Linked DNA regions of Tamandua tetradactyla. The protein of the gene in region 1 interacts with the protein of each later gene in a biochemical or structural test. Links are inferred from orthologs where the notes say so. Each region holds a gene or a part of one and is shown in the gene's direction. Other genes may lie near its edges. The genes, in order: SNTA1, GUCY1A2, MAS1 and ADRB1.

Evidence for each region.
Region 2: the proteins of SNTA1 (region 1) and GUCY1A2 interact in a test that uses a peptide from one of them, tested with the Homo sapiens proteins (3 studies listed by BioGRID and IntAct, with this or other methods). The link is inferred for Tamandua tetradactyla from reciprocal best matches to the Homo sapiens genes SNTA1 and GUCY1A2.
Region 3: the proteins of SNTA1 (region 1) and MAS1 interact in a test that uses a peptide from one of them, tested with the Homo sapiens proteins (2 studies listed by BioGRID and IntAct). The link is inferred for Tamandua tetradactyla from reciprocal best matches to the Homo sapiens genes SNTA1 and MAS1.
Region 4: the proteins of SNTA1 (region 1) and ADRB1 interact in a test that uses a peptide from one of them, tested with the Homo sapiens proteins (2 studies listed by BioGRID and IntAct). The link is inferred for Tamandua tetradactyla from reciprocal best matches to the Homo sapiens genes SNTA1 and ADRB1.

Annotation. Positions count from the first base shown.
Region 1 is NC_135327.1:19,571,601-19,578,636, forward strand, and holds the start of SNTA1 (alpha-1-syntrophin), read left to right. Parts: upstream 1-4,033; 5' UTR 4,034-4,164; coding exon 4,165-4,477; intron 4,478-6,803; coding exon 6,804-6,989; intron 6,990-7,036. UniProt on the Homo sapiens protein: Adapter protein that binds to and probably organizes the subcellular localization of a variety of membrane proteins. May link various receptors to the actin cytoskeleton and the extracellular matrix via the dystrophin glycoprotein complex.
Region 2 is NC_135334.1:35,005,907-35,013,383, forward strand, and holds the start of GUCY1A2 (guanylate cyclase soluble subunit alpha-2), read left to right. Parts: upstream 1-4,459; 5' UTR 4,460-4,481; coding exon 4,482-4,775; intron 4,776-7,477. UniProt on the Homo sapiens protein: Has guanylyl cyclase on binding to the beta-1 subunit. Isoform 2 acts as a negative regulator of guanylyl cyclase activity as it forms non-functional heterodimers with the beta subunits.
Region 3 is NC_135337.1:63,731,697-63,738,087, forward strand, and holds MAS1 (proto-oncogene Mas), read left to right. Parts: upstream 1-4,915; coding exon 4,916-5,890; downstream 5,891-6,391. UniProt on the Homo sapiens protein: Receptor for angiotensin 1-7. Acts specifically as a functional antagonist of AGTR1 (angiotensin-2 type 1 receptor), although it up-regulates AGTR1 receptor levels.
Region 4 is NC_135339.1:76,002,099-76,009,494, forward strand, and holds the start of ADRB1 (beta-1 adrenergic receptor), read left to right. Parts: upstream 1-4,381; coding exon 4,382-5,767; 3' UTR 5,768-7,396. UniProt on the Homo sapiens protein: Beta-adrenergic receptors mediate the catecholamine-induced activation of adenylate cyclase through the action of G proteins. This receptor binds epinephrine and norepinephrine with approximately equal affinity.

The DNA of each region.
Region 1 (7,036 bases):
AACCACTCAATTGTGAACGGAATAGGACATTAGCCTACTTTTTTTTTCAGGAAGTAGATTTTATTTTCTATGGCCATAGGGCTCAATCAAGTAGCTCTGAAAGTCTGAGCCCTGAACAAAAGGTTAACATTAGTTTTTATAGACAGGATGACATATTAAAGATAAGGTAAATGATTGGCTGGTTTAAGTTGAGAAGGACACAAACCTAGGTCACAGAAGCATATGCATCCTTAAGGAAGGAGTCTCCATCCCAGCTGTCTTATCTCACCTGCCTGCAGTTTCACCCATTCCTGAAGGTCAGGAGAGGGGGTTTGGGGATTTTCCACAGAGGAGGCAGCTGAACCAGAAGAAGCAGCAGGGAGTGGGGGGTGGGTGGGGAGAGGCCTGCCTGCTACATTTCCCCCTTTGATGCTTACCCCAACTTATAGGAGGGGTTATAGCATCACCTATATTTCATTTTTGTTTGTTTGTGTGTTTTTTTTTGCTGCAAGTGTTGATATGTCCCAATCTGAGCTAGATGTGGAAAGAATGTAGTCATGCAGAATTTAGGCCCCTGCAAAGTTGGGGGGTGGTGGTGAGGGTTTGTACCCCGCTGCTGTTGGCCTCAAATTTTCTCCTGATGGCCCCTTTGTGACTGTGCCTGTCTTAGGTTGTTCCTCCCCTGAGGAATCTTACCCGTCTTTGGCTAACCAGCCATCTTCCAGGGCCAAGCAGGGTGATGTGAGGTGTGCAAGTGAGGAAGGGGCAATGCCCCCCCCCCCCACAAGAGGGTCTGATCTGTCTCTTTAACAGCCTATGTACCCTGGCCTTTATGCCCAGCACCTGCTTTGGGATTCCTTTACCTGCTGGCGGGGCATCAGCTTTGGTCTAATGTTTTTGGGAACCCAGATTTTTTGTTTTTTTTTTTTCAGTGAGGGCTTAGCTTATAGCTTTGGGCAAGAGATAAACTTAGCCCCAGTTCCCAGGAGGCCTTTACAGTTTTGCCATCCTAGAGTAGTGAAGATAGCAGTACTGAACCCGGTGTGGTGGGATTATAGCATACTAGGCATCTTTCTTTAGGGTGCATACAGAATAATTCATGTTTGAGAACTGCCCTGGCATGAATACTGGTTATAGTTCTTATCTTTTTCTAACATAGGTAGTCTTGAAGCATGCCTGGCATGCATCATCCCCCTTGGAAGGGCTTATGATCATGTCAAGCAGATACAAAGGAGTGAGGCTAATGGTGCTGGTTATGGGGAGTGCCACCACACAAATGTACAATTAGCCTCAGGGAAGGAATGGAGACACTCACTCTGCGCAGCGGCTAGGAAGGGGGAAGTTAGCTGGGTAAGAGGGATTCTGTCAAATGAGTAAAGTTGGTTTTCGGGAAGAACTCCAGGGGACTGATTTTCAGGCGGGCTAACACCACTAAACAAAAGACAAACGTGAAGAGCAAAAAAAGAGAATTAGTCCACAGACCCAGCAGACTGGGATGGCCATGTGTTGATTCTTTAATTTTCGGCTGTACGCAGATCAGTCAGCTTCCGGGGTGACTGAGGCAGGGCTCGGAGATCTCCTCAGGCTTCAGCTGGGTGTTGACTAGCTGCTTCTGGTGAGCTAGAGCAGGGCAACGATTGTCACTCAGGCCTTACTTGTGGGCTGGTCAGCTGATCTCAGCTGCGAAGGAGAGGGAGTGCAGTGGCTCCCGGAGAACAATGTGTGTCAGGTGTTCAGGATAAGGGGTGCATTCCCAGGGGTTGTCTGTGGTGGCCCTTTTGACCTGAGAGTGGTGAATTCATAGGATGATCTTCACGGCTTTGATGGCTGTTAGGGTTACTTACAACAACATGGTAAGGACCTTTCTATTAAGGACCAACCCTATTGAGGCTGCAGGGAGCCCATTTTTTTTTTTTCCCCCAGTCTTTTACCCATACCATGTTTCCTGGCTTAATCTCAGGTAAGGGAGCGTAGATGCTAAAGAGTTTGGGTACTGCTTTTAACACCTTCCCTTTTAGTTCACCTTAAACTTTCCCTGATTTTGACCATAATTTCCTTTTTTACAAACCTTTGGCAACTTATTATATTTGTTCAGGCTTTGTCTTACATTTTTTATTCTGTAACAGCCATTTATTTTATGTGAGGGCAAAACTACTCTCCTTTTCCTTTTAGTAAAAGCATATCTTTTATATCCTTCATACTTAAGTCATTATTTAAAGCAAATATTTTACCACACACAATTACTATTAAAATTGAATTTGTCAGAATAATGTTCAATATTTAAAATGCTTTAGTTAATGCATATTTGAAACCTTAATATACATTTTTTAAAATAAGGATTGATGGCACAGAATAAAGATTTTTAAAACTCTGTACGGATAAAATTTGCAAGCAAGGTGTTTCATAATATTAAACAGCTTTTTCAAGTTTAAAAAATATGAAACATTAAACCAAAGGGGAGCCACAAATTTGGAATCAAAGATAATGGGGTTTGGCTTAATCCTTTGTCTGGAAGAAAGGGAGTAAGTGAGGGTATAGCGGTACCAAGGGAGCTGGATGCAGGTCTTCTGCCTTGCCAGGAGTAGGAGCACTACTCATTTTATGATCATAACTTGGTTTACATTTCTTTTGTATACATTTTAAAAATTTAATTCTTTGACAAAACATTAATTTTTTTTGGTTAACCTTAGCTTCCAGCAGGCCTTGGAACATTTCTCTGTGGGAAATCCTATTACTGGTTTTGGGAAACCATTTCCCATTTTATATACATACATATATATATAATGTACATATATATATATACTTTTTGGCCTTTCCTTTCCCTGTATTCCAGTCTCCCATGTTTCCCAGCTTTGCCATTTTATAAAGTGTACCAGGGTCGATTATTTCATGGCCACATACTGTTAGCAGGGCATTGCTTATTGCATCTTCGTGCAGCCAATGTCAGCAAGTTAGAATTTTTTCCAGTTTGCTGATTAAACTTCTGAAAAGCAGTCTGTATGAAGGGACTGGTGCTAATTTCTGTAAATTTCATGCAATCAGCATAGTCCAGCACCACTCCTTCAGCCCCTGCATCAGCAATTCTAACCATCCAGGTAATTAATGGCTTACAAGGTTTTGTTTGTTTGTTTTATCTGACAAGCTTTTTTTAATTTAAAATACTTGCTTTTTTTCCATTATCTGCTTTGTCCACACATTACCATCCCACTTATCAGGGTTTTAATCAGTAGCGGCAGTGGCTAATACCATACGTATCTTCCCTTTGTTCACTTTACCTTGTTTCTTTTTATTTTTTTAAATTAATTTTTTAATTAAAAAATATAACAACAAACAGACAAAAACATTCTTAATACATCATCATTCCGTTCTACATATATAATCAGTAATTCACAGTTTCATCACATAGTTGCAGGACATTAGCCTCTTAAAGTCTCCTTCAGTTTTTAACTGGGTAACATGCCCACCCGTTCGCCAAGCCCTAAAGGCAGCAGTTGCAAGGTCAGCCCCAGTGGGCGGGGCCTGCAAGCACCAGAAGCCACGCCCACACAAAACCACGCCCCAATGCCAAAATGCCCCGCGCCAAACTCGGAAACGAGATTCTTCCGAAGCTCGCCCACTAGCAGCTACACCTGCGTTATGCCTCGCGGCTCGCTGTCGACTTCTTAAACTCAAGCCCTGTCCCTGGTGTCCTCAGCTCCTACGCCCAAAGCTTCGCATTAGGCCTTACGGTCCTTCCCTTGTTCTTGTGCTCACATCTCTGTGAGCGACGGCCCAGAGCCTCGACGGCCCTGACCAGAGTTGAGTCTCCCTCACAGGAATCTTGGCCTTTGGCCTCGGTATGAAGCCCCGCCCCCTGAACGGCTCCGCTTGGGCATCCGCTCCTCACCAGCTCCTCGGCTTATTTCGGGGCCCGGGCCTTACGGCCCCACCCTCTAGTAGCTCTATTCTGCTCCCTTGGGCGTCTGACCTCGCCCAGCCTCCCGCGAGGTGTCAAGGCCCCGCCCTCTGCGGTTAGCCACACCCACGTAGCCCCGCCCCCTCGAGACTCCACCCCCAGCGGCCCGGGGTAGGGTGGCTGCTGGCCCAGACGGGCCCCAGCTGCCCTCTGCCCTGGGTGCTCGGTCGGAGCGGGCCGGGCACAGCGGGGCAGAGTGAGCGCGGCGGCGCGGGGGCCCGGAGGCGAAGATGGCGGCAGGCAGGCGCGCCCCGCGCACCGGGCTCTTGGAACTGCGCGCCGGGGTGGGCTCCCCCGGCGGCGGCGGCGAGCGGTGGCAGCGGGTGCTGCTCAGTCTGGCGGAGGACGCCCTGACTGTGAGCCCCGCCGACGGCGAGCCCGGTCCCGAGCCCGGCGCCCCGCGGGAGCCCGAACCCTCGCAGCTCAACGGCGCCGCCGAGCCGGGAGCGGCGCCCCCGCAGCTGCCGGAGGCGCTGCTGCTCCAGCGGCGCCGCGTGACGGTGCGCAAGGCTGACGCCGGTGGGCTGGGCATCAGCATCAAAGGTGGGCGCGGGGGCACCGAGGGCACGGAGTCGTAGTGTCTGTGAGGCCGCCGACGACGCAGGGGTCGTGGGGACTGGTGCCGAACGGAAGCCGTGGAATAGGGAGGCCTTGGGTTTGAGGGTATGGGGTGGGGGTGTTCTGAGGCCACTAGGCGCACGGGGGCCTCCAAGGTCAGAGACTTGGGGTCTGTGACAGTACAGTGGGGAGCCAGGGACATGGGATTTTGGGAGTCGAAGTCACCGACGGAGTAGGTGTGGAGGGCATTGGGGCGCACCACGGAAACGTGGGTGGGGAATTCTATGTGGTGGCTTAGGGATCTGCGGGAACAGCTAGCACGGGCACCAAGGACAAGAGGGGCCCAGGAGAGCAGAGGGTGGAGAAAGGGGTCGAGGCCTGGGACACTACTTAGGCAAGGAGAAGCAAGTCCGTGAGACAACACCAAGGTGGAGGGAGTTTGGGAAGGACGTGCATGGGTAGGGCCCGTGGGTGGAGGCACAGGCTGGAGTCGCAGACGGGCCAGAAAGGATGCAGAAATCTGAGGACCCGGGACAGCTGTTTGCCTAGGCAGGGAGCCCTGACATCTGGGTTTGAATCTGGTGATCTGACCCTTTCTACTTTGCACAGGATTGAAAGGGGAGACACAGAGTTGGTACTCCTCTTTGAGCTCCCAGCCTGTGGACGGCTTTCTTTGGGGACTCATTTAGGACTCTGGACTTAAGACAATCCGCTTTCCATCTATGAACCTCAATTTCTTCAACTGCACGAGGATAATGATAAAGTTGTGTTATTTCTGTAAGCACAGAAGTCCGAAGTGCTGACCCTGCCAGCGCATAGTAGGGGCCCAGTTAATTATCGCTGTTATTTGAGAGGAAAAATGGAGGTCAGGAGAGGCTCCTAAAGCAACTGATCACAGTGTTTAAACTCCCTGCACACCTCCAGCTGCTGAGCTCACCAGTCCTGCCTGTCTGCTTCCTAGGGTCCCAGCTCTCGGCGAAGTGTTACCTGCCACGGAAAAGGGTGTCAGTCTCTGTTTCACCCTGAATGTACGTTGTCCCCTCTCTGGGTCTCCCTGGTGCTAACTCTGTTCACTGGTGCCTCCAGATCCTTTAGCCTGGGGCTGGGGATGGTGGCAACTGTCACCACTGTGTACCAGGTGCTGTGCCCAGTACTGTAGGCTCATGAGCCACTTCATCCTGGCACCAGTGTTGAAAGATAGGGAATATAATCCCATTTTTTTGCAGGTGAGGAAACGGATGCTCAGAAAGGTGCAATGATTTGCCCAGGGTCACATAGTTAGCTCCAGAGCTAGGATTAGAGCCTCAATTATCAGGCACATGTCCTCCCTAGAGATTGCCCAGGGTGATACTTACATGTGGAAAGGCAAACTGCCAGGCAGCCAACCAAAGATGTCTAAAAGGGGAAAGTGGTGAAACCAGGGACAGGTACCAGTCTTGTTCCCAACCTCCAGCATGGCATAGGGCAGCAGGGCCAATCCAGAAATGGTACACTCAGCTTGTCAGAGCAGGTTGTAATCTATAGTTCATATAGGTCAACCCTTCCTTTTTTTTTTTTAATTAGAGAAATTGTAGGTTTACAGAGAAATTGTGCCTAACATACAGAATTCCCACATGTTCTCCTATTATTAACACTTTGCATTAGTGCCAACTCTCCCATTTTGCAGATGGACAAACTGAGACCTCAGAGAAGAGCAGGGACTTTCCAAGGTCACATAAAGTTACTCTCAAGCTGCATACTTCCAGATGGGGGTGATGGTCTTTTTAGGAGGCTTCAGAGGAAGTGCAAGTTCCATGGGCTCCTGTCGCCATGGGCAGATAGGAATGACCATATATTTCAAACTGGACTGAATCCCTTGTTTTAGGAGGGGGAAGATAGAGATAAATAGAAACTCCTTCCTCCCCCTAGGCCTTAAGTTCTGTGCAGCATGATGAACAAACTATTGAGTATATGTGGAGGTCAGGAGAGTGTTCCAGCCCCAGCTCTGCCACCAATTTGGCGTGTGACCTTGTAACAATGAGTTCCTTTCTCTGGGGAGCTAGTTCTTCATCTTCTCATCTCTGGGGATGGACAAGGAATGTGATATCCGAGGGCCCACATTTGACTGGGTTCAAATGCTGGCCCTGCGGCTTACTAGCTAAGTGTCCCAAGCTTCTAAGGCTCCTTTGTTCTGAGATTCTCTTTAGTCTTCCACATTCCCCCCGCTCCTTTTCCAGCACTGGGAGGCCTTCAATAAATACTTTTGCCTTGACACGACTCCTAAGCATTGGAGCATCTGCCTCACCTTCTTTCTCCTTCTGTGCCTGTGTAGGGGGCCGGGAGAACAAGATGCCCATTCTCATTTCCAAGATCTTCAAGGGCCTGGCAGCTGACCAGACTGAGGCCCTCTTTGTGGGGGACGCCATCCTGTCCGTGAATGGGGAAGACCTGTCCTCTGCCAGCCACGATGAGGCAGTGCAGGTCCTTAAGAAGGCAGGCAAGGAGGTGGTGCTAGAAGGTAAGCACTGAGGTCCCCAGGGCCCTGAAAAGTGGGTGTGCATGTGT
Region 2 (7,477 bases), on another chromosome or scaffold:
ATGAAAATTGGGGAAATGATGGTGATGATAGCACAATATCATGAATATAATTAATACCACTGAATTATACACTTGGGAGTGGTTAAAATGCAAATTTTTGAGTTGTGTCTATATTGCTACAATAAAAATAATTGTAAAAAAAGGAGGCAGCCATCCTACTTAGAAGTATTTTTTCGGTACAAATTCTACTAAGTGTGGTTTTTGTTTTTGTTTCTTTTCTTCCTCCTCCTCCTCCTCATCATCATCTGCTTGTCTATATCTACCCCTACCCCTGCCCTTATCCCTCTCTCCTTCTCCCCACCTCCTCCTTTTTCTTCTTCTCCTCCTTCTGACCAGCAAGTACCCTATTCCTTGAAGATGGTTTTATGATGATATATAACCATAGGAAGATGTATTTCATTGACTTCCATGCATCTCTTTATTTATGGACAAAATATATGGCTATTTTCACTTTGATATTATTCTTAATATTCAGTCTTACCATGTTTCATATTCTTGCATAATTTTGTAGTTCTAGTCTTTTTTTTGGTAACCATCTTTTACCAAGAAAGTACATTTGCCCTCTTTTAAAAGACAGGGGTATTAAAGTGGGAGGTGGAAGCAGCTCTCATTCAGGGAACATGCACACAGGATTAAACCTGCAGGTGAGGAACACGTGTGTGTGTTTATGTGTGTGATTTTCTAGGTTAGGAATCCAGAAAAACTTGCTCTAGTTAAGAATATTTCTTCAGAGAGTTTATTATGACGTTACCTTTAAATCCCTGTGATTTGCCAGGTTTCATAAAGACTGACTATAGGGGGCAATTTCTTTAGTCTTCTTATATCACGGAAGATCTCTGCTCCAGGGGGCACTTATGCAGATATTGCAGGGTTTTTTTTTTCTGGAGACTTGGATGAAAAGAAATTAGGAAAGAGTTTGGTACTCTGAAATGAAAAGACTTTGGGAATGAAGACTGATTGCAGTTTTTATTTGAATTTGACAGAGGTAATTTTTCTTTACTTCTCTGTGAAGAAGGAAGACAAAATTAAATGACACAATGTAAGTGAAAAAAGCTTATTGAATAGAAATGCTTTATATGAAGGTGAGGTATGTATGACAGTTGTTTTATGTTTAAAGGAATAATAGTCACCAATTTGACTAATATAGTATATCTGCTTTCTAAGGAGTCTTTCCCAATATTGATCAATCTGAACTGAGTCCTCAACTGCCCTCACTGACATCACGAACCAAGTACATTCCTGAATTTTTCTTCCCAATACCAGACTGGGTTTTAAGGACTTCATTGTATGACACAATATACCCAGCAGGGCTTGGATTTGTGGGCCTGGGTTTTCATTTCCTAAAATCTGGGCACAGGTTATTCATTTTTAGTGGACTACTCTTTGACTAAGGTGCTTGGATTTCTTTTGCCAACTCTAAGGCTCTTTTATAAAAAATAGAGGATATGCTATTCTTCCTTTAAAAATGTTAATTCAAGTATAGAATATAGTGCTCCTCATATTGAGAACTTTCAAACTTGATTCCCAAAAAGAAATACAAAGGAACCCCTTGAAAGAAATGTGGACGATGTACTATCTAGAGCTAGGCCTCCATATGTTTCTAGTTTAAAAATCGGTGGGAAAATCATGATCAAAGCAGAGTAATTCATACAGAAAGCTTTAAGATTATTTTATCTGTTTAGCGTCTGTGAAAAGTCTTTGGTTCAAATGGTTCACACAAAGAAAAAAATGTCCCATAGGTTCAGAGTTCTTTCTGGCAATAAACTTTCAGTGTAAACAGGAAGACTCTTGGACCTCCTAGAACTTTTAGAAGCAAATAACACTCATTGCCTTGCACTCTAATTTTAACTTTGAAACATAAGTTGGAACGGTTAGTTCCAGTTCTAAGTTCAATGAAAAGGTTATTTACCGTTACCATAATAAAATTTTTTTGGTGCAATAATATTTTATTGAAAGAATACAAAGGGCATATGCTAATTAATATTCTAATAAAAGCTCTAAAATTCTATGATTCTGGAGAACTTGACAATTAAATCATTACTAAATAAGAGAAGTAGGAACTACAACCTATTATGTCATGATTGATACTGCACAGCAAGAATATTAAACAATTTCCCCCAGGTTGGAATTATGTAATTCTCAAAGTACTCTTCCATTGTAATTCAGAAACAAAGGCCAGTGAAACTTTTCAGCAGAATTGAAAACTATTCCTTATGACAAAGGTGTAGTTTGTGTCTAAAATCCAGTGAAAACAAATGACTGTGGAATTAATTGAAGTCACAGGAAATCTACAGGAGATACGCAACACAATACAAATTTACTATTATTATTATTAGTAGTAGTACTTTCAATGAGGCACCTCCTATACCAAATTTTTTCTGCTAAGAGGAAAAACTAGCTATGCGGTTAGACACTTAGTAGGCTGAGAAAGGGGAGCATATAAATGAAAGTATACCTTTTCATACCATTTACATCTATTTAAGCTGGGAATAAGGCACTTCTCTGAATCAGTTTGGATTTTTCTAAAGTATAAAAGGGCACCTTAGATAAAAATTACATTTGTTTGGGTCTTCATTAACAATGCTAAGATTTTAGAGTTGAAAGCGAAATGGGATGGAGATGCAGCAAAAGTATTTCTTTTTATTTTCTTGTTTCTGTCTTTCGTTTTTAACTTTACAAATTCAATCCATAAACCCACCTGTTTTCAGCTGGAAAGACCAGTCCTTTAGAAAGTGCATTGGTTTTTGTGTCGCCGGGGAACTAAAGACAGAGTGCTGAACTTTTCTTTCCGGGCGCGGGGGATATTGAGGGGGACCCTCTTCTGCTTTGTAGCAGGGGGAAGTGAAGCCTCGGACCACTCTTTTAGTATACTCTTATTTGTCCCTTCTTCCCATCTCTTACCCTAAGGTTAGAGAAATGCGACTCTTTTCTGGGGCTAAAGCCAGAGCAGAGGGGCTGGGCGCTGAGATCGCAAGGGTGCCAGCTTTGGAATGAAGCAATTTCGCCACAAACTCGGAGCAAGAGATGTGCTCACTGTGGCGTTTCTGCTCTTGGGCTTTGAAAAGCCTTTCTTCCCACTCTCCTTAGTTTTCTGAGCAGCATTTCCAGACAAGTGCAAACATCGTACATTTGGCGCAAACGGTCCAGCAGACGAGAGATTAGGAATCACTCCCTCGTTTACCGCCGGCCGGATCCTAGCTAGCGAAGTCTGTAGCTTAACTGCCGGACTTCCCCCACCCGCGACGCGGCCAAAAGCCGCTGCAGGTGGCAAGAGGAGCTGTCCAGCACTAATGCGGAGCCCATCAGCCGCGGGCAGAAGCCCGGCGCCCCGAGCTTCCTTCCCCGCCAAGGCTCAACAACAGGGCTGTCGCCCGAGCAGTCGCTGTCCTCACACACTGCCACCCATCTCTGGGTTCGCTGCGCGGCTACGTGGCCTCGCCCGCAGGGGAACAAGGGGGAGGGAATCGTTCCCGCAAGCTGTTCCAGCCCGAGGAGCGCCAACATGTTGCCCCTGCTCTTCCTTTCCTCTGTAAGCTTCTCCTCCTGGGTCGGCGCTAGGCCTTTCGCCTGCGCCGCGTAACTTCCTAATTAAACTCGGAGGAAGGCGGGGAAAGGGCGAACAAGGACCCTAACCCTCCACTTAGCGTCCTCAGGCTTGCCAGGAGGTGGCTCCAGGGGGAATTCCCTTGCCTCTGGGCCCTGCGCCCCTCTCCTCTCCTGAGTCCCGGGCCCGTTTGCTCCCTGGACGCCTCTTCCGGGGCTGTGGAGTAGGACGTTGGGGTTGGGGCCCCTCCATGCGGTCAGAGCCGCTGGGCGCTCCTTAGTGGAGCAGAGGGCGGCGGGAGCGGGGAGAGCGCGCAGAGGACTGCAACGAAGTGTCCTCGTTGCTCCTGAAACGTGGCGATAGGAGAGGCAGAGACTCCCAATGAGTATGCTGGCGACACGTGATACCGGCGGAGGGAGAGCTTGGGGGTGGGGGGAATAAAGGGAGAAGGCGGAAGGCGGGCGAGCAAGCGGAGAGGCAGGAGGAGAGGGGCGGGAGGAGAGAGGGTAAAGGCGTGAGATAGGAGCGCAAGCAGCAGAAACCTCAGGCTGTGGACCACACCGGCCGCAACCCTCGCCGCCCGGCCGCCCGGGCGCACACTCCGAGCCTCCCCGCGACCCGAGCGCGGCGCACAGCGCATGGCGATCCGCCGAGGCGGGCGCTGAGGCGGCGCCGTACGAGCTGCAGCAGAGGCGGCAGCGGCCCCCAGCCCAGACCGGCGCCGCCGCCGAGCCCGGGCCCCAGGGTGCGGCGGCGTCCCAAGTTCCCGCGATGAGCAGTCGGCTCGAGGGGCTTCACGGCCCAGGGGACTCCCGCCCCGGCGAGCGCGACCGCAGCGCCCAGTGGCCCCGACGCGCTTAACGCCGCGGCTCGCCGGTCCCGCCGCCGCCCGCGTCCCCGCCGCCACCGCCTCGGCCGCCGCAGAACCGCCGGCAGCATGTCTCGAAGGAAGATTTCGTCCGAGTCCTTCAGCTCGCTGGGCTCCGACTACCTGGAGACCAGCCCCGAGGAGGAAGGGGAGTGCCCCCTGTCCAGGCTCTGCTGGAACGGCAGCCGGAGCCCGCCCGGGCCGCCCGAGCCCAGCGCGGCCGCAGCCGTCGCCCCGCTCCCAGCCGCCGCCTCCGCCGCCGCCGCTGCCGCCGCCACGGCCGGGGCCAGGAGGGCACAGCGCCGGAGGCGGGTCAACCTGGACTCGCTGGGCGAGAGCATCAGCCGCCTGACGGCCCCCTCGGTGAGCGGGGGGCGGCAGGAGGGGCCGCGCTTCGGGAGAGAGGAAGGGGCTCGGGAAAGTTGGCGCGCGGCGAGCCAGGGCGTAAGCGCAGAGCCCGACCGCTGGGGGGCGGCCTGGCCTCGCCCCGCCGGGCCTGGGGTCTCCGACCCTGGGCGAGAGCCGAGTCCCAGGGCGCTGGTGGAAGGGGTGTTAGAGCACCGGAAAGGAGTGAAGCCTCCGTTCTTCCCTTCCCGGGTCTGCGGATTCAGGGGTGCCTGACTGCCCTCCCCCAGCCTTGCGCCCTACTTCATCATTGTCACCCTTGACGGCCCCGGTGCTCCTTCGCACCCACCTGTTTTCTTTCCCTCAAACTTTCCCAGTCACTTTGTCCCGCAGTTCCCATTTCCAGGTCTTTCATCTCTGTTTTCCAGCATCCCAAAGGAGCCCCAGCACTTCCAGGATACGCTTCCTCTCTTTTTTTCCCACACTCTGTTGGTCTTAGCTGGACCTTCTCTGACACTGAATTCCACAGGCTATCGGCATACTATGTTGCATCGCTTTTCTCAAATCTTTTGGAACTGCCTGGCGGACACTTTCATGAATTATCTTCTGTTGAAGGACCCTCTGAACTGTTTTGCACACCACCCCCCACCTCAGAGTTTTGTTTTATTGTTGTTGTTTTTAATAACTCACTGGGCATTTACTGATTTAACCCCCAGTCTTCATTTCTGGTTAAACTGGTGTTTGGTTTTCTAAACCTCGCGGGGACTTCTTGCACCCTACCTCATCCTTCACTCCCCCTTCCCTGGGTTTTCCAGTGCTTTCCCCCTCAATTCTTTATGCCTTCCTTATATTAGGCCCGTCATATATAGTTTTTGATTGAATAAGTGCTTTCCTACGTGTCTTCAAACTCGTGCTCATTTGGGGATATCTGTTTTAGCAGTCCCAAGTGTACACCAGACTCCTTGGTTCTAGGCACTCCTTCCAGAGCCCGCTGGCGTGGTTCCTGCCGAGACATGTCAGCCACCCTTGACTTTCACCGTCTGCAGGAATGCCAGACCTCTGTTCCAGGCTTTCCCTAAGTGAGCTCAGTGTTAGGCATCCATTCTATTGCAGACAGAATGTGAAGGAGGTGGAAATGTTGCCAACCTGCACCTTTCATTTTCTCTGTTCATTGTCAAACCTCTGTCTGCCTCTTATCCTCACCCTGACCTTGGATGCAAGGACTATAATTCCTGACAGCACTTTTACCTGCCCACACTGGGGCTCTTTCTTCCTCCACGTTTCTAAAACGTATCTGAACATCGATCTTGATTTAGCTACTCTCTGTCTCCCCTTTGAAAGTACGCTAGCGTTTTTGGGGGAGGGATCTGAGGAGGAGTGGGACCCTGAGACTGGATCCTGGTACCAGACAATCCCAACAATGTCCTTGTGGTCCTGGCGTTCAGGAAGAATGCTCTTCGTGAGCGGTGTCATGTTCCTCTTCTTGTGCATTTTTTCCTTTTAATTTAACCTTTCCCCCACTTCTTTTATTGATAACCTAGGAAACAAACCTCAAAATAATTTAGGGCGGGCCACGGTAGCTCAGTAGGCAGAGTTCTTGCCTGCCACGCCAGAGACCCGGTTTCGATTCCCGGTGCCTGTCCATGTAAAAAAAAGAAGATGATTTGGCTACTATTTGCTATTCTTCACTGCAAATATTTCCCAGGCAACTAGTCTTAGGAACTCTTTGCTGTTGCAAAATTGTTGAACACAAGGAGTCAGTACCTAAGGCAGCATTTGCGTATTATGCTATTTCAGTACAACAGATTCATTTTTGACACAGTGATTTTACTAAAGATATTGATTAGTCTTTTTTTTCTAATCCTGAAGTTTCTTTGGTCCTAAGAACCAAAATTTACAAATGTAATGGTGCCTCTGATCATGACAATTTGGCCTAAGACTATTTTCAACAATTTATATGAAGAGTAGAAAAAAATAAACTGAACTAGTGTATTTATTGCAAGATTTAGAGTGAGGAAATAGTCTCTGATTGATACCTTTCTAAATAAAATTTGAATGAATTTGGCTTTTTGTTGGATAAAAACAGTTTTCAGGATGAGGAATTTGAAAATAATTGCAACGATTGTATATATATACACCACACATGCATATGCACACACACACACACACATACAGAACAGTTATATATACTTTCCATGCTGTAATTCTTTTTTTTTTTCTTTTGAAAAGGGTGTGTTAGATGAAGTGCTAGGAACATACGGGTAAATACAGTGTACACATTTTCAGTATCAGAATCCATGTCTAAATAAATTCTCATTGGCTAACCATGCCATCAATAGATTTAGTGATGCAAAGAAAATAGATTAGTTTCAAAGCAATGACTTTTTCTAAATGGTACCCATCCTATTTTCTTTGTTTTCACAATCTAGAACACTGCCTCAAAAAGTTCCATTAGATTAATTCTCTACTGTCAGAGTTCTAAACCTCTTTAAATGAGACAATAGAGATGAATTATGTCCTGTTTATTCTCTCTCAGTAGAGCCAGACAATTTTTTTTAACCTTTGAGAATTGCCATGACAAGGACGTTCTTAGATGGGAACTTCTAGTTCTGAGTGTGTGAGCTTTCTTGAACTCCTATACTATCTACTTCAGGAGAACCTGTGCTTGCCAGGGAAGCTTGAGTTTTATCAGTGGTCATATCATGGAATATTGTCTCAAT
Region 3 (6,391 bases), on another chromosome or scaffold:
AGAAGGGCTTTTAAGAAAACTCCATGGTTTGGCATCTTACATCTTCTATAAAATACCCCAGCTCCTGGGGAAGACAACTTGTAACTTATGTAACAGAGTGATTTTATATTTATAAAAAAATTCTAGCAACTCAAAAGAAATAAACATAGGACATGAACAACATTCACAAAAAAGAAACACAAATAACCCTTAATATGAAAAAATGTCCAATTTCATTATCAAGCAAATAAATGCAAATTAAAACAAGACACCCTTTTATCATCTATCAAATTTAGGAATTTAAAAAAAATGGAGATTTTGTGGGGAGGAAAAACATTAATGCTTTGAATTAAAGTATTCAGTTACTGTCAGTGGCATTATAATTGGTTCAGTTAATTTTGAAAGATGCTTTGCCAATCTGCATTAATATTTTGGAAAATGTTTATATCCTTCGATCAAGCAATTCCACTTTTAGAAATATGTCTTAGGGAAATAATTAGAGATTTGCATCAATTTTGCATCCAATTAAGTACATCGCAGTGTTTTGTATTTTAAACAATGGAGGAAAATAAAATTTTAAAAAAGGTGAAAAAGCAGGAGCACTCAGTCCAACATAGGGGATTTATTAAAAATAAATTATGGAAAAAAATAAATTGCGGTACATTCAAATGTTGTCTATTAAAGCCATGTTTTTAGAGCATATACAGACCTAAGGGAATGTTTACAATATCATGTTGAATAAAAAAAGCAGGATACCCAAGCAGATTATAAAATGCAATCTCCATTTTGAAAAAGATGTGTGAAGGCATTGAAAAAAGACTGGAAAGAAATATCCCAAAATGTTAAATCAGGCTAATTTTGAGTAGTGGTTTTATTCATGATTTCCTTTTAAAAATTTCCAAAATTTCTTCCATGGATATACATTAGTTTTACAATTAGACTAAAAGAGGCAATAACATTTAAAAACTAGATACCCCCATTTTAGGATTAAACAACCCATAAAATGTGCCCTGCTTGGGTGAACAGTTTTTTTTTCAGTGCACAAATCCTTTTGCAGGGTCGGGTGTAGTGTTCATAGGTACCTGCAGACTGTGTGTTTAAGTCACAGGGGAATTTGAATGCAGAGGGCACGCAGTGATCTGGCCCCATGGTTGGCAAATGCGCAATTAGAAAGGAAAGAAGTCGAGAGATGAAAAAAAAAATCCCCCATGACACCAGGGTGTATGGTGCCTTCAGTGTCTTAAGCAGGAGAACTGGAAAGCATTACACACAGAGGCAATCAAAGGTAAGGTCTTAACTGGGAGACCAGCTCAGCTTTGAGTGAGAAGTCGGGAGACCTGGATCTCTGCACAACTCTGTCGTCAAGATTCGGGTGAGCTTGCCGGCGGGTGTGGCTGCTTCTTGGGCCCCGGGAATGCCCTACGCAGTGAAGGAAAGGCTGTTGTGGAGCCCTTTGGAGTGGTGCAATGCAGGGGGCCCCGAGTGTGTCCTCGTTATTAATCCCCCTGTAAAATGGGGACAAGAACCCTTTCCTTATCAGCCTCCCCGGGTAATTTTAAAGATTCCAAGCTGGGATGGAAGTGAAAATGTTTTGGACTCTCAAGTCCTACCCAATTGCATTTGGATGCTCCAACTTCTTTCTTTCTCCCCAGGAATTTCTTTTAGGGGAAGGGACAGAGGATGGGAGATGCTCTGTGATGCTCCAGTAACCATGCTGTCACCTACAGTCTCTCTTTTACTTTTTTGCCAACTGAGGTTCCTCCGCTGTCTTCCTGGCCACGTTGGGAGGCACACGAGGCCTTCAGGATGAACTCTTCTTCCGCCCAGGACCATCAATGCCAGGTAAACCTGCATCGCTGCAAATCCTATTGCTGTGTGACAACAGAGCTCCATAAACAAACAAACAAACAAAAAGATTTGTCTGTGTGGATCTACGCTGGGTTGGCACAGAGGCAGCAAAGCATTCCCAGTGATGAATTTTGTGGTTCAAATGCTTGCCCCGTCTTGGCCGTGTTTGGAGGACTCAACCGCGTGAGATTTTGCTCTGCTGTTGGGGAAGGATCACCGAGCCAAAATGAAATTATTCTGAGCTAGACTGTTTTGTCAGCTAGCAGCAATTACCCTTCTACTGTCCTCACCCTTCCCCGCCTCAAATATCCCAGTCATCTGCCCACGGAGCTGAATAATGCACAAAATGACCAAGGAGCCTGGAGGAGGAAAGGGTTTGGGGGTGGGGAGGATGCGGGGCCAGCTGAGCTCTTGTCATCTGCTATTTCACTCGAGAGACTGAAATTCCATCTTACACCCTCCGCCACCATGCCCTGCTCCCAGCCACCAGCATCTGGGTAAGTGCAGTCACCTCCCTTCTGATCTCCCTCTCTCTGCCCCCATGGCCTAGAATCTAATCTGAACACCATACTTCCCACCTCCCTAGGAGCAGTGGCCATGAGGCCCCATGAATCTGGCCCCCAATACCTCTCTGAACACATCGCCTAAGCTTCAGCTCCTGCTTATTCTACGGGAGCCACACCAGTCTTCTACCTCTTCTTCAAAAATGTCTGGCGTCTCCCTGCATCTAGACCTCTGTGCTTTCTGTTCCCCCTGCCCGGACCACTGCTCCCCAAGAATCTGCATGTCACTCACTTCCTTCCTGTCTTGCCCCATGTGTAACCTTATTAGTGAGCTATTCCCCATCACTCTGTATAAAATAGAAACCCCACATCCCTGTTACCCTTTATCCTTCTAACTCGGCTTTACTTTTCTCTAGTCACACTTACTACAATCGGACATGTACCATATTTATTTGTTGTTGTTGTTGTTATTTGTTATTTGATTATCAACTGCCTGCCTGCTAGAATATAAACGCCAAGAAGTCGGGGCTTTGTCTATTTCGTCTACTGCTGTATCCCAGGTGCCTAGAACCATGCCTGGTGAAATCACACTGAATACATACTTGATGGATGAATTGAGGAAACGTTCTTCTTCCTTCCTTCTGGGAGTGCTGCTGTCCTACCTAGAAACTTCTAACAGAGCCTGGTGTCTCCAGCAGGTCTTTGACCAGCCATGTCATGGTCTTCTGAAATCGTTCCTTCTGGAGGACTCTTGAAGTTATCGGTGGTCTATATCTTTGGTCTACTTATGAAATGAAAGGAGATTTGCCCCAGTGAAAATAATGCCCAGTACCTTGCCAAGGGACATTTCTGGTCTCCTGAAATCACACCTCTGGGGAGATAATTATGCATCTCACCAACCTGAAGTCCGCCCTGGTGATTCAGATTTCAGATGCAGTTGTAGGGACATTGTTTTGTTTGCTAAAGCTGCAGGAATGCAATATACCAGAAATGGGTTGACTTTTAACAGTGGGGATTTATATAGTTACAAGTTTTACAATTTTAGGGCTGTGAAAATGTCCACATTAAGGCATCAACAAGAAGATACCTTCTCTGAAGAAAGGCTGCGGGCATCCAGGGTTCTTCTGTCAGATAGCAAGGCATGTGGCCAGCATCTGCTGGTCCTTTGCTCCTGGGTTTTGTTGCTTTCAGCTTCCAATTCTGATGGCATCCTCTCTTTCTCTCCAAATGTCTGTCTCATAAAGGACTCTCAAAAGGATTAAGACCTACCTTGAATTGGGGGGGGGGGGGTCATATCTCAATTGAAACAACCTAACTAAAAGGTTACACTTGCAATAGGTCTGCACCACAAGCATGGATAAAAAGAACATCGCATTTTCTGGGGTACATGACATCTTCAAACCAGCACAGACATCAAAACTGGGAGCTCTGTAAATACTGGGGATCTGATGATCCAATTTTGGAAATGCTTATTATCATCAGAGACATTCAAACTCCAACAAAAATGTCACATCTATGTACTGTACCAGCTTCAGGCGACCTTATGAGGAAAAGGCACATAACTAATTTTAACAAAAGGTTAATTATTTTGCCCAAGCAGGGACCCTGGTCTGCAAGGTTCCAAAAAAAGCAAAGGACAACAAATAGCCCTGGAATAGGGGAAATGATGTCTGGCAGCTGCCTCTCTTTTCCTTTCTCCAATGGTAGAAAGCGGTTTATGTATGTTTGTCATATTACAGCAGGGTGGGGTGTGTGCATATATTTATTTTACAATTAGTAAAGTATGAGGGAAAGTTTCTGGGAAATTTTGCTTTGCAGCTTCAAATATTTAGCATTTTTCTTGGTTTTGGGTCAGTCTTATGTTTAATGTCTGCAATAATGTTCTCTTTCTGTTTTCCTGCACAGCCTTGTCTACGGTATGTGGAAATGTAAATACATCTCGTTAACACTTGCCATATGTTGTGCAGAGTGTTGGTTTGCACAGCATACCTAGTCTGAGTAGGTGCCCAGCTTTGTTGTAGATACTGAGACCATATGAAATAAATATGTTTTAATTGTTCACACTTTAAAAATATTGAAGCACTACTAAACATAATTCTCATTTCCTTTCATAATTTGCTCACTGCTTATGACACTTAATGTATTAAAAATGACAACATTGCGCCGATATGTGTTTCTTGAATTACATCCCAAAGCAGTCACCCTGGTTCCTCAGGGGTCGAAATGGAGATACAGAAGATGAAATAACTTTCAAAAAATCCGTTCAGGAAGCTTGGACCAGAACTGGAAAGGGACACCCCTTGCTCTGCTGTATCCTTTTGTGGCACTGAGCCATAAGTAGTAATAATAACTCCAGGTCAGGGTTATTGGCAGGGGGCGTGGGTGTCCAAAAAGGCCTTTATAGAAGTTCTCTTGTTTGGTGAAAGAGAATTGTACGGCCTCTTAAAACATTTGTTTTTTATAACATGAGGGTTGTCATGGGTAACCGAAATTCCCCTTTCTGTGCCAGTTCCCCATTTCTGATGGTCCTCTTCCGACTCTGTTTACAGGAAGCTAACCAAGGCGCCCCAGCCCCAGGCCTTCTCATGGGTGAGTCAAACGTCACCTCGTGTGTGGCTGAGGAGCCCGGGAACGCCTCGGCCCCCAGGAACACCTCCACGGGGGCCCTGCGCCAGGAAATCCCCATTGTGCACTGGGTCATTATGAGCATCTCCCCACTTGGGTTTGTGGAAAACGGGATTCTCCTCTGGTTCCTCTGCTTCCGGATGAGGCGGAACCCCTTCACGGTCTACATCACACACCTGTCCATCGCCGACATCTCCCTGCTCTTCTGCATTTTTATCCTGTCCGTTGACTATGCGTTAGATTACGAGCTCTCTTCTGGCTATTACTACACAATTGTCACATTGTCGGTGACATTCCTGTTCGGCTACAACACGGGTCTCTACCTGCTCACGGCCATCAGTGTGGAGCGGTGCCTGTCGGTCCTGTATCCCATCTGGTACCGATGCCATCGCCCCAAACACCAGTCAGCCTTCGTCTGCGCCCTCCTGTGGGCACTTTCTTGCCTGGTGACCACCATGGAATACGTCATGTGCATTGATAACGGAAGACAGAGCCACTCTCGAAGCGACTGCAGGGCAGTGATCGTCTTCATAGCCGTGCTGAGCTTCCTGGTCTTTACCCCACTCATGGTGGTGTCCAGCACCATCTTGGTGATCAAGATCCGGAAGAGCACATGGACGTCCCACTCCTCGAAGCTCTACCTGGTCATCATGGTCACCATCATCATCTTCTTCATTTTCGCCATGCCCATGCGGCTCCTGTACCTGCTCTACTATGAGTATTGGTCCACGTTTGGGAACCTCCACCACATTTCTCTTCTCTTCTCCACCATCAACAGCAGCGCCAACCCCTTTATTTACTTCTTTGTGGGCAGCAGTAAGAAGAAGAGGTTCAAGGAGTCCTTAAAAGTGGTCCTGACCAGGGCTTTCAAAGACGAAACACAGCCTCGGCACCAGGAACACAGTAACACCATCGCCGTTGAGACTGTCGTCTGAGCAGGGGGCGGGTGGAGGGAGGCTGTGGACAGAACCAGAGGAACACTGACAATTCTCAGTTTGTGCTTTGGGACACAATGTGAGTATCTCTTAAATATGATACAGAAGGACATGTACATGAGATGCCAATGGTGAGATTGTACCCTTGTGCCGTGTCCTCTGGAAATGCCTAAATTCTTGTCAGATCTCTATCATCATTTCTGTATCTTTCGAAAACCCCATTTCTGTTGCTCCTCAGCAATTCTGGCAGCAACCCCCCCCCCCCCATGAACTGTAAAAACTCCTCCAGTGGGAAGATTTACAGATGTGTTCCCAAAAAGCTAATGGTGTTTGTCGGAACTTGAGGAAGCAAAGCAATGTAATGGGAAAAACAGGGGTTTGGGGGGTCAAGTTGATGCTTACCACCTGTGTGTGACCTCAGGCAAGGGAATTAGCCTCTCAGAGCCTCGTGTCCTCATTTATAAAATGGTCATAGTAGTAGCACTTACCTTGCAGGGTTGT
Region 4 (7,396 bases), on another chromosome or scaffold:
TAATTTGATATAGAACTTGACACCAGATTCAAGTCATTAGCTATTCTCCCAGGGCAGAGATGGCTGGGTATATAATACCGTAAATGAAAGCAGAGGGAAAAATTCCCTTCATCTTGATCGTTTGTGAAGATAAGGTAATACTTTTTATTACTGTGATCTCGTATTGGCCCCTTTAGAAAGCCCCTTGCCTATACCTTACTTCATTCATTACTAAATAGGTATGACAAAAATTTTTCTCATGAGCCTCTCTTATATTTGTAAAGTGTTTTCGAAATGCTTATATGAAAATATCAAGTATGCTAAAGGTTTATTATTATGAATGGTAAGCATGAGTAAATATTTTAACAATCAAAACAATTATTTCTCATAAGTATGAATATACATTATTAAATTAAATATTAAATATTTGTGAACCAGTACTAAATATTAATTAATAAAAATAAATATTAGTAATTTGAGGGGCTATAAAAATGGGTGGGCTAGTCCTGGCTCTCACTGAACTTACAATCCATATGAGAAAGCAAGAGAAAAACATGTAAAAATTACACAAGATAGCAATATAAGAGATCTCAAAAAGCAATATATTGCTAATTGCCTCCTGAATGGCAAAAATCATAGTTAAGCATTGTAGGACAGAGGAAGGAGAGACCATTTCCAGAAGCAGTAGTCAGGGAAGATAGCAGGAGAAGACCTTAGTCAGATCTTGAAGGCTGAATTCACTGAGGCAGACATGGAAGAGGGAATTCTTGGTGGAAGGAACCCAGGGAGAAAAAGCACAGATGCAGGAAAGGAAAGAGTACTGGGGTGGTTTGAAGCTGTCTGTAGCCCATTAAAACATGCTCTTAAATTTAATGCATTCCTGTGGGAGTGGAACCCATTGTAAATAGGACCTTTTGATGAGGTTCTTTCATTTAAATTGTGGCCCACCTCAATGAGGACAGCTCTGAAATCCTATTACTGAGTCCTTTATAAGCAGAGTGAAATTCAGACAGAGAGAGAGTCACAAAGGGAGCAGCCAGAAGCTGAACATCAATGAAACCCAGAAGAGAAGGGAGAGACCAGAAAATACCACCTATGCCTTGCCATGTGACAAACTAAGGACCTAGGGTCACCAGCAACCAGCCCCAGAATGCCACAGTCTTTGGGGAGAGAGCACTGTCTTGATGATGCCTTAATTTGGACTTTCTTTTAGCCTCAAACCATAAGCTAATAAATTCCCACTGTTGAAGCCTACTCACTGCATGGTATTTGGTTGAGCAGCTTAGGAAACTGCAAGTTAAGCTGATGTAGAGCGTTCTAATGAGAGAGAGCGCTGGAAAGGAAGTTTGTGGCTAGACTGTGAAGATCTCTGAAAGCCAAGTTGAGAAGTTAGGTTTCTAAACCGAGAAGCATCTTAGTCAAAGCAGTACTTTCAGAACATTAATTAGACTATGATATGCTGGATTCAATGCAGGGGGGAGGCCAAATAGAACCCACAAGTTCAAATACAGGTGATGGCGGTGGGATAGGTCTGGTGAGGTGGAGGCAGGGAATATGGAGGAAGGAGTACACTATTTCTTAAGTGTGCTGATTGGAATTATTGTTGGAGTGCTTTGCTATATTCTGAAGTATTGCCAAATATGTGGGTTCCTAGGAACAGATTCTCTTTAACAGCTATGGATGGGAATGGGGAGATAGAGGAGTTATTCATTTTGAAGAGGCAAGCCCCCAAACATGTAATACCTGTCTAAGTTGAAACGCTGAACCTTTTCCTCTTTATCTTGTGTCTTCATCTAAGCACAAAAAAATCTAGCAAAAAAAAAAAAAAAAGATCAAAAAAGCCATGAAATATAAGAATTAAAGGTCACTGGGAAGATTTTATTTTAAAAGAAAACTAATTCAAGTTGCTACATGGTGTGCTTATACATTTACTTAGGCAGGAGAGTCCTTACCTTGCACAGTTCTTCACTGCAAGTCCACAACCAAGGTCTGGCCTTATCTCTTCCAGAAATGCAGCTCCTTCACCCTTCAGGGGCACTTAAGGTTGACACTCTCTATTCTGGTAGCACCACTTGACAAAAAGATGGCACCCAATGGAAAGCTTTTTCCCCACACCCTCACCCAGCAGCCAGGCACTCAACCCTCTTCCTGGGCAGCATCAATTTCAACCCTTTCCAATTCCTTGGCTATTTTGAGACTGTCCGTTGAGGTTCTGAAAGGTGCCTGAAGGGGAGACTCAGTTTGAAAAGACTTGGGTAACTAAGAATTCAAGCCTGTTCCTCTCCTCTTTCCAGCCCCTCTTGTTTCCTTGTTTCCCTTCTTCAGTCTCCCCAGATTGACAGTACTAGGGCAGGGGTGAATAAACAAATAAATCACTCCCTGGTTATAACATTCTGAATATCAAATTTGAATCAAAAGCAAATTTATATGCTTGGATTTCGGAGAAAGTAGTTAAAAACTGCTTGACTTTGTAAAGTTAATGAGCTTTATTTTCTGCTCTTGAGTTGGATAGTTGTAGAAATCAGCATCTCTCTGCAAGGTAAGAATATGTTTGGTCTAGATGTTGATGTTCCTTCCAGAAGCTGTTTTTAAAATTTCAGTGCTAGAAAGATGTGTGAGCATTGAATACCATTTTCATGCACCCCTACATGGAAAACTAGAAGTTGATTATTTCTCAAAGATTTAATTAAAGATCTTTAATTTGAGGACATTACCAGATCCAAATTAGAGAAAGGGTTTGCAGTCTCCTTCCGGCTTGTATTGGTGACAATCCTGTCTGTCCCTTCATATAATCCCCACACAGCTCAGCTAACAGCTCATTCATGTCAAGCTGATTCAATTGCTAATTCAAAACCTACTGTTACAGCTTTAAATCCTTTCGTTTTTCAATCATCTTGAATATTTACATATTTCCTTCTCTCATCCTTCCAGGACTAATCCTAGAGTTTTGAGAATCTGGAATTTGGGCACAGGAGAAAAGATGGCTCAGACCAAGAAATCTGAAGTCTCAGGTCATTATTTCAACCAAAACTGGCAGTTCCTTTTTGTTTGTATTGACTCAGCTCCAATATGAAATCACATGCGTAATAAAAAACAAAATACAGGTGTCATTACTGAATGTGAAAGGTCTGAAATGTAATTAAATGTGTTCTTTCTTCACGGCGGTGCCATTTACTTTTTATGTCAACATTTGTTTCTCTAAATCTCTCTATATTACCGACACACACTGTTGCGGCATATTCACACATTCATTAGCTGGGACTGGGGAGTGTGTGTTTTTGCAATTGATCCTCAGCGTTAGCTGTTAGGAGCAGAAACCTTAGCTTCCTTTCTGCATCTACTGCACTGAAACGACTGAAGATCCCTGCAAGAACAGCGCCAGAGAGCGTTCCGACAGATGAGCGGTTTGCTTAACGCGTTCGGCTGGAAAGTTTCCTCTAACCACCTACACCTGCCTCTGATTCCCCGAGCTGGCAGGACGCAGGCTGGCAAGGTCCCCTTTTGGCAAGGAAAGGGCTTTACACACACCCATCTGGGTTGTCTGAGAAACAATCTCGCAGTCAAACTCCTCCAACCCCAGCGGACAGACTGTCCGAGGAGGAGCTGTGGCGCTTCAAGAACACGGAGGTTCCCTCCCGGCTAAAGGGAGTGCGCGCGATGCTCTGCGGGAGACCCGGGCGCTGGAGGTAAAGGACGCGCCGGGAGGGTGGGGGGACTGAAGGGATGGGCGGGAGGCAGCGGGAGTGCAGACAGAAGCCGAACGCGGGAGGCAGAAATCGCACGCAGCCGGGAGCGGAATACTGGAGGGAGAGGGAGCCGCAGAAGCCGGCTGAGAAACGCGCAGGAGCTGGGCGCTGTAGGGGGCGCAGGAAACTGGGCGCTGGGGCCCGCGGTGCGGGACGAGGCGTGCGCAGGACCCGGCAAACCCCAGCAAGGCGCTCGCACAGCGCTCAGCAGCTTACTCCCCCTCCCCGAGCCGCTCCAAAGCGCTGAGAGGGAGGTGCCGGGGACTGGGGAGGACCAGATAGGGGCGTGCCTTTGCCTCGATTGGCTGCGGGAGCTTGACGCGATGCCCCGGGGGTGGCTTGGAGGAGTGGGAGCCGGTGGGGTGGGTGCTGGGTGCCGGAGGAGCGGGCCGGCGCGCTCAGAAACATGCGGAGGTCTCGGCGGTCGTTCCAGCAGCGGCAGCGGCTCCAGCAGCAGCGGCGGCGGCGGCGGCGGCGACAACGCTCGGCTCCCTCGGAGAAGGCGCCCCGCGCCGATGCCTCGGGCCCTGCGCCGCGGCTGCGCTGACCTGGCCGCGACCTTCGTCCGCGAGCCCCGCCGCCCCGGCTTCTGGGGTACTCCCCCAGCCACGGCCCAGCCCCGCCACACACCCCGCCCCCGGCCTCCGCAGCTCGGCATGGGCGCGGGGGCGCTCGCCCTGGGCGCCTCCGAGCCCTGCAACCTGTCGTCTGCCGCGCCGCTCCCCGACGGTGCGGCCACTGCAGCGCGGCTACTGGTGCCCGCGTCGCCCGCCTCGTCGCCGCTGCCCACGTTGAGCGAGGTCCCCGCGCCGCTGTCACAGCAGTGGACGGCCGGCATGGGCCTGCTGATGGCGCTCATCGTGTTGCTCATCGTGGCGGGCAACGTGCTGGTGATCGTGGCCATCGCCAAGACGCCGCGGCTGCAGACGCTCACCAACCTCTTCATCATGTCCCTGGCCAGCGCCGACCTGGTCATGGGGCTGCTGGTGGTGCCGTTCGGGGCCACCATCGTGGTGTGGGGCCGCTGGGAATACGGTTCCTTCTTCTGCGAGCTCTGGACCTCGGTGGACGTGCTGTGCGTGACGGCCAGCATCGAGACCCTGTGTGTCATCGCCCTGGACCGCTACCTCGCCATCACGTCGCCCTTCCGCTACCAGAGCCTGCTGACCCGTGCGCGGGCGCGGACCCTCGTGTGCACCGTGTGGGCCATCTCGGCCCTGGTGTCCTTCCTGCCCATCCTCATGCACTGGTGGCGGGCCGAGGGCGAAGAGGCGCGCCGCTGCTACAACGACCCCAAGTGCTGCGACTTCGTCACCAACAGGGCCTACGCTATCGCCTCGTCCGTGGTCTCTTTCTACGTGCCCCTGTGCATCATGGCCTTCGTGTACCTGCGGGTTTTCCGCGAGGCCCAGAAGCAGGTGAAGAAGATCGACAGCTGCGAGCGCCGCTTCCTCGGTGGCCCCGCGCCGCCAGCCTCGCCCGCCCGCTCGCCGGGGTCCCCGCGCGCCGCCGCCCCTCTGGCCAACGGACGCACCAGCAAGCGGCGGCCCTCGCGCCTCGTGGCCCTACGCGAGCAGAAGGCGCTCAAGACGCTGGGCATCATCATGGGCGTGTTCACGCTCTGCTGGCTGCCCTTCTTCCTGGCCAACGTGGTGAAGGCCTTCCACCGCGACCTGGTGCCCGACCGCCTCTTCGTCTTCTTCAACTGGCTGGGCTACGCCAACTCGGCCTTCAACCCCATCATCTACTGCCGCAGCCCGGACTTCCGCAAGGCCTTCCAGGGCCTGCTCTGCAGCGCGCGCCGGGCGGCCCGGAGACGCCACGCGGCCGCCGGCGACCGGCCGCGCACCCCCGGCTGCCTGGCAGTGACCCGGCAGCTGCCGTCGCCAGGGGCCGCCTCCGACGACGACGACGTCGGGGCCGCGCCGCCCGCGCGCCTGCTGGAGCCCTGGGCCGGCTGTAACGGCGGGGCGGCGATGGACAGCGACTCGAGCCTGGACGAGCCGAGCCGCCCGGGCTCTGCCTCGGACTCGAAGGTGTAGGGCCCGCTCCCCGCCACTCTAGCCGGGACGTGGAGTCTGCACCCCGGGGGAGGAAAGACCCAGCGTTCCCGAATGGCTTCCCAGGGAAAAGAAAAGGTCTGTGTTTACTCAAGACCGAAGGCAGGTGAACTCAAAGCCCACAAACCTCGTCTGAATCATCCGAGACAGACAGAAAAGCCACGGACCGTTGCACAAAAAGGAAAGTTTGGGAGGGGTGGGAAAGTGGCTTGCTGATTTCTCTTGGATTCTTTTCTGTTCGTGGTTCGGCCTTCTTTTGCTTGTGCTTGTAATGCATCTTAGATTTTTTTCCCCCTCGCAGGTGGTCACACCTGCTGCAAAGACCTGAGTGCAAATTGGGTGGGAGGGGAAAGGAGAAGCTGTAGGGATAGGGATGAAAGTCTATCAACTTAGCTTCCATCTGTTCTCAGGAACAAGAGCACAGTCAACCCGGCTATGGCCCGGGAGGGGGAGGGGAGGGGCGTGAGACAGTTTGTCAGAACATGTTCCTTTTTGCTTTCTAGAGAACTTTCTCTCAAACTCTCAAGTAATGATATCCCCTGTTCTTAAAGCAAAGAGAAAGGATGGATGCAAAAATCAAGTTTCAAGAATAAGCTATTCTTGGAACAAATCTCACCTTGCTTTCCTTTTGTAGGGCAAACTTGCTGTCCCCCGTGCCTCGGGGGTCAGGCTCTGGGATTTCTACCTCACGCTGTGCATATTGCACAGCAAGCTAAAAGACTTGTTTATATTAAACAGCCTATTTATGTATCAATATTAGTCGGAAGGACCAGGCACTGAGCCTCCATAACATGTGATTGTCAATTGAAGACAGGACAGAAAAGAAAAAAAAATGGGGGAAACAGTTCTAATATCAAAACAGATTACCGTACATTTGGATAAAAATAAAAAATAAAACAAGGAGTAGTTCAAAATGCCATTTTTGCACAGTGTTAGAAATTACAAAGTCCACAGAAGATGTTATTTGCACAAAGGGAAATTAAATATTTTTAAAGGGGGGTGCATCTTAAAAGCTAAAAGTTAAAACTCTACTTCTGTTGTCTATTATATTATTGAGCTAATGATTTATTGGTAAAATATCTTTTTATACTCTTTTATCATGGTACTGTAATTGTATCCATATTATAACTATACTTATCTTAAGGGTTTTTTTTTTAATTTTTTTATGTCTAATTGCCCACGTGAATATGTTGGTAAAATTTAGCACTTGTGTGTAAATTCTATTTCCTCTTGCATATTTTGCCAAGTATTTATACTCTGGTGCAACTAACTACTGTGTGAGGAATTGGTCCATGTGCAATAAATACCAATGAAGCACAATCAAGATTATGTACCATGTGCCTGTAAGGGGTCAGTGATAGTGGAAAAGACAGCGTGTTTTGCTCAAAATACAGATCGGATTTCCGATATAGCTCTTTGAATAGCTTTTCATGACTCGATAACATAGCAAAGTGCTTTTAGACCAAATATACTTGCCCCTACTGAGCGCTGCAGATTCGCCCTAATTTTTCACAGCCGGATTTAAAGTATTCTAGACTACTTGTAGGCGTTTTCAAGATTCCATCTGCTGCACTTGACTTAAGTAACATTTTGGGGATTGTGTATCTTCAA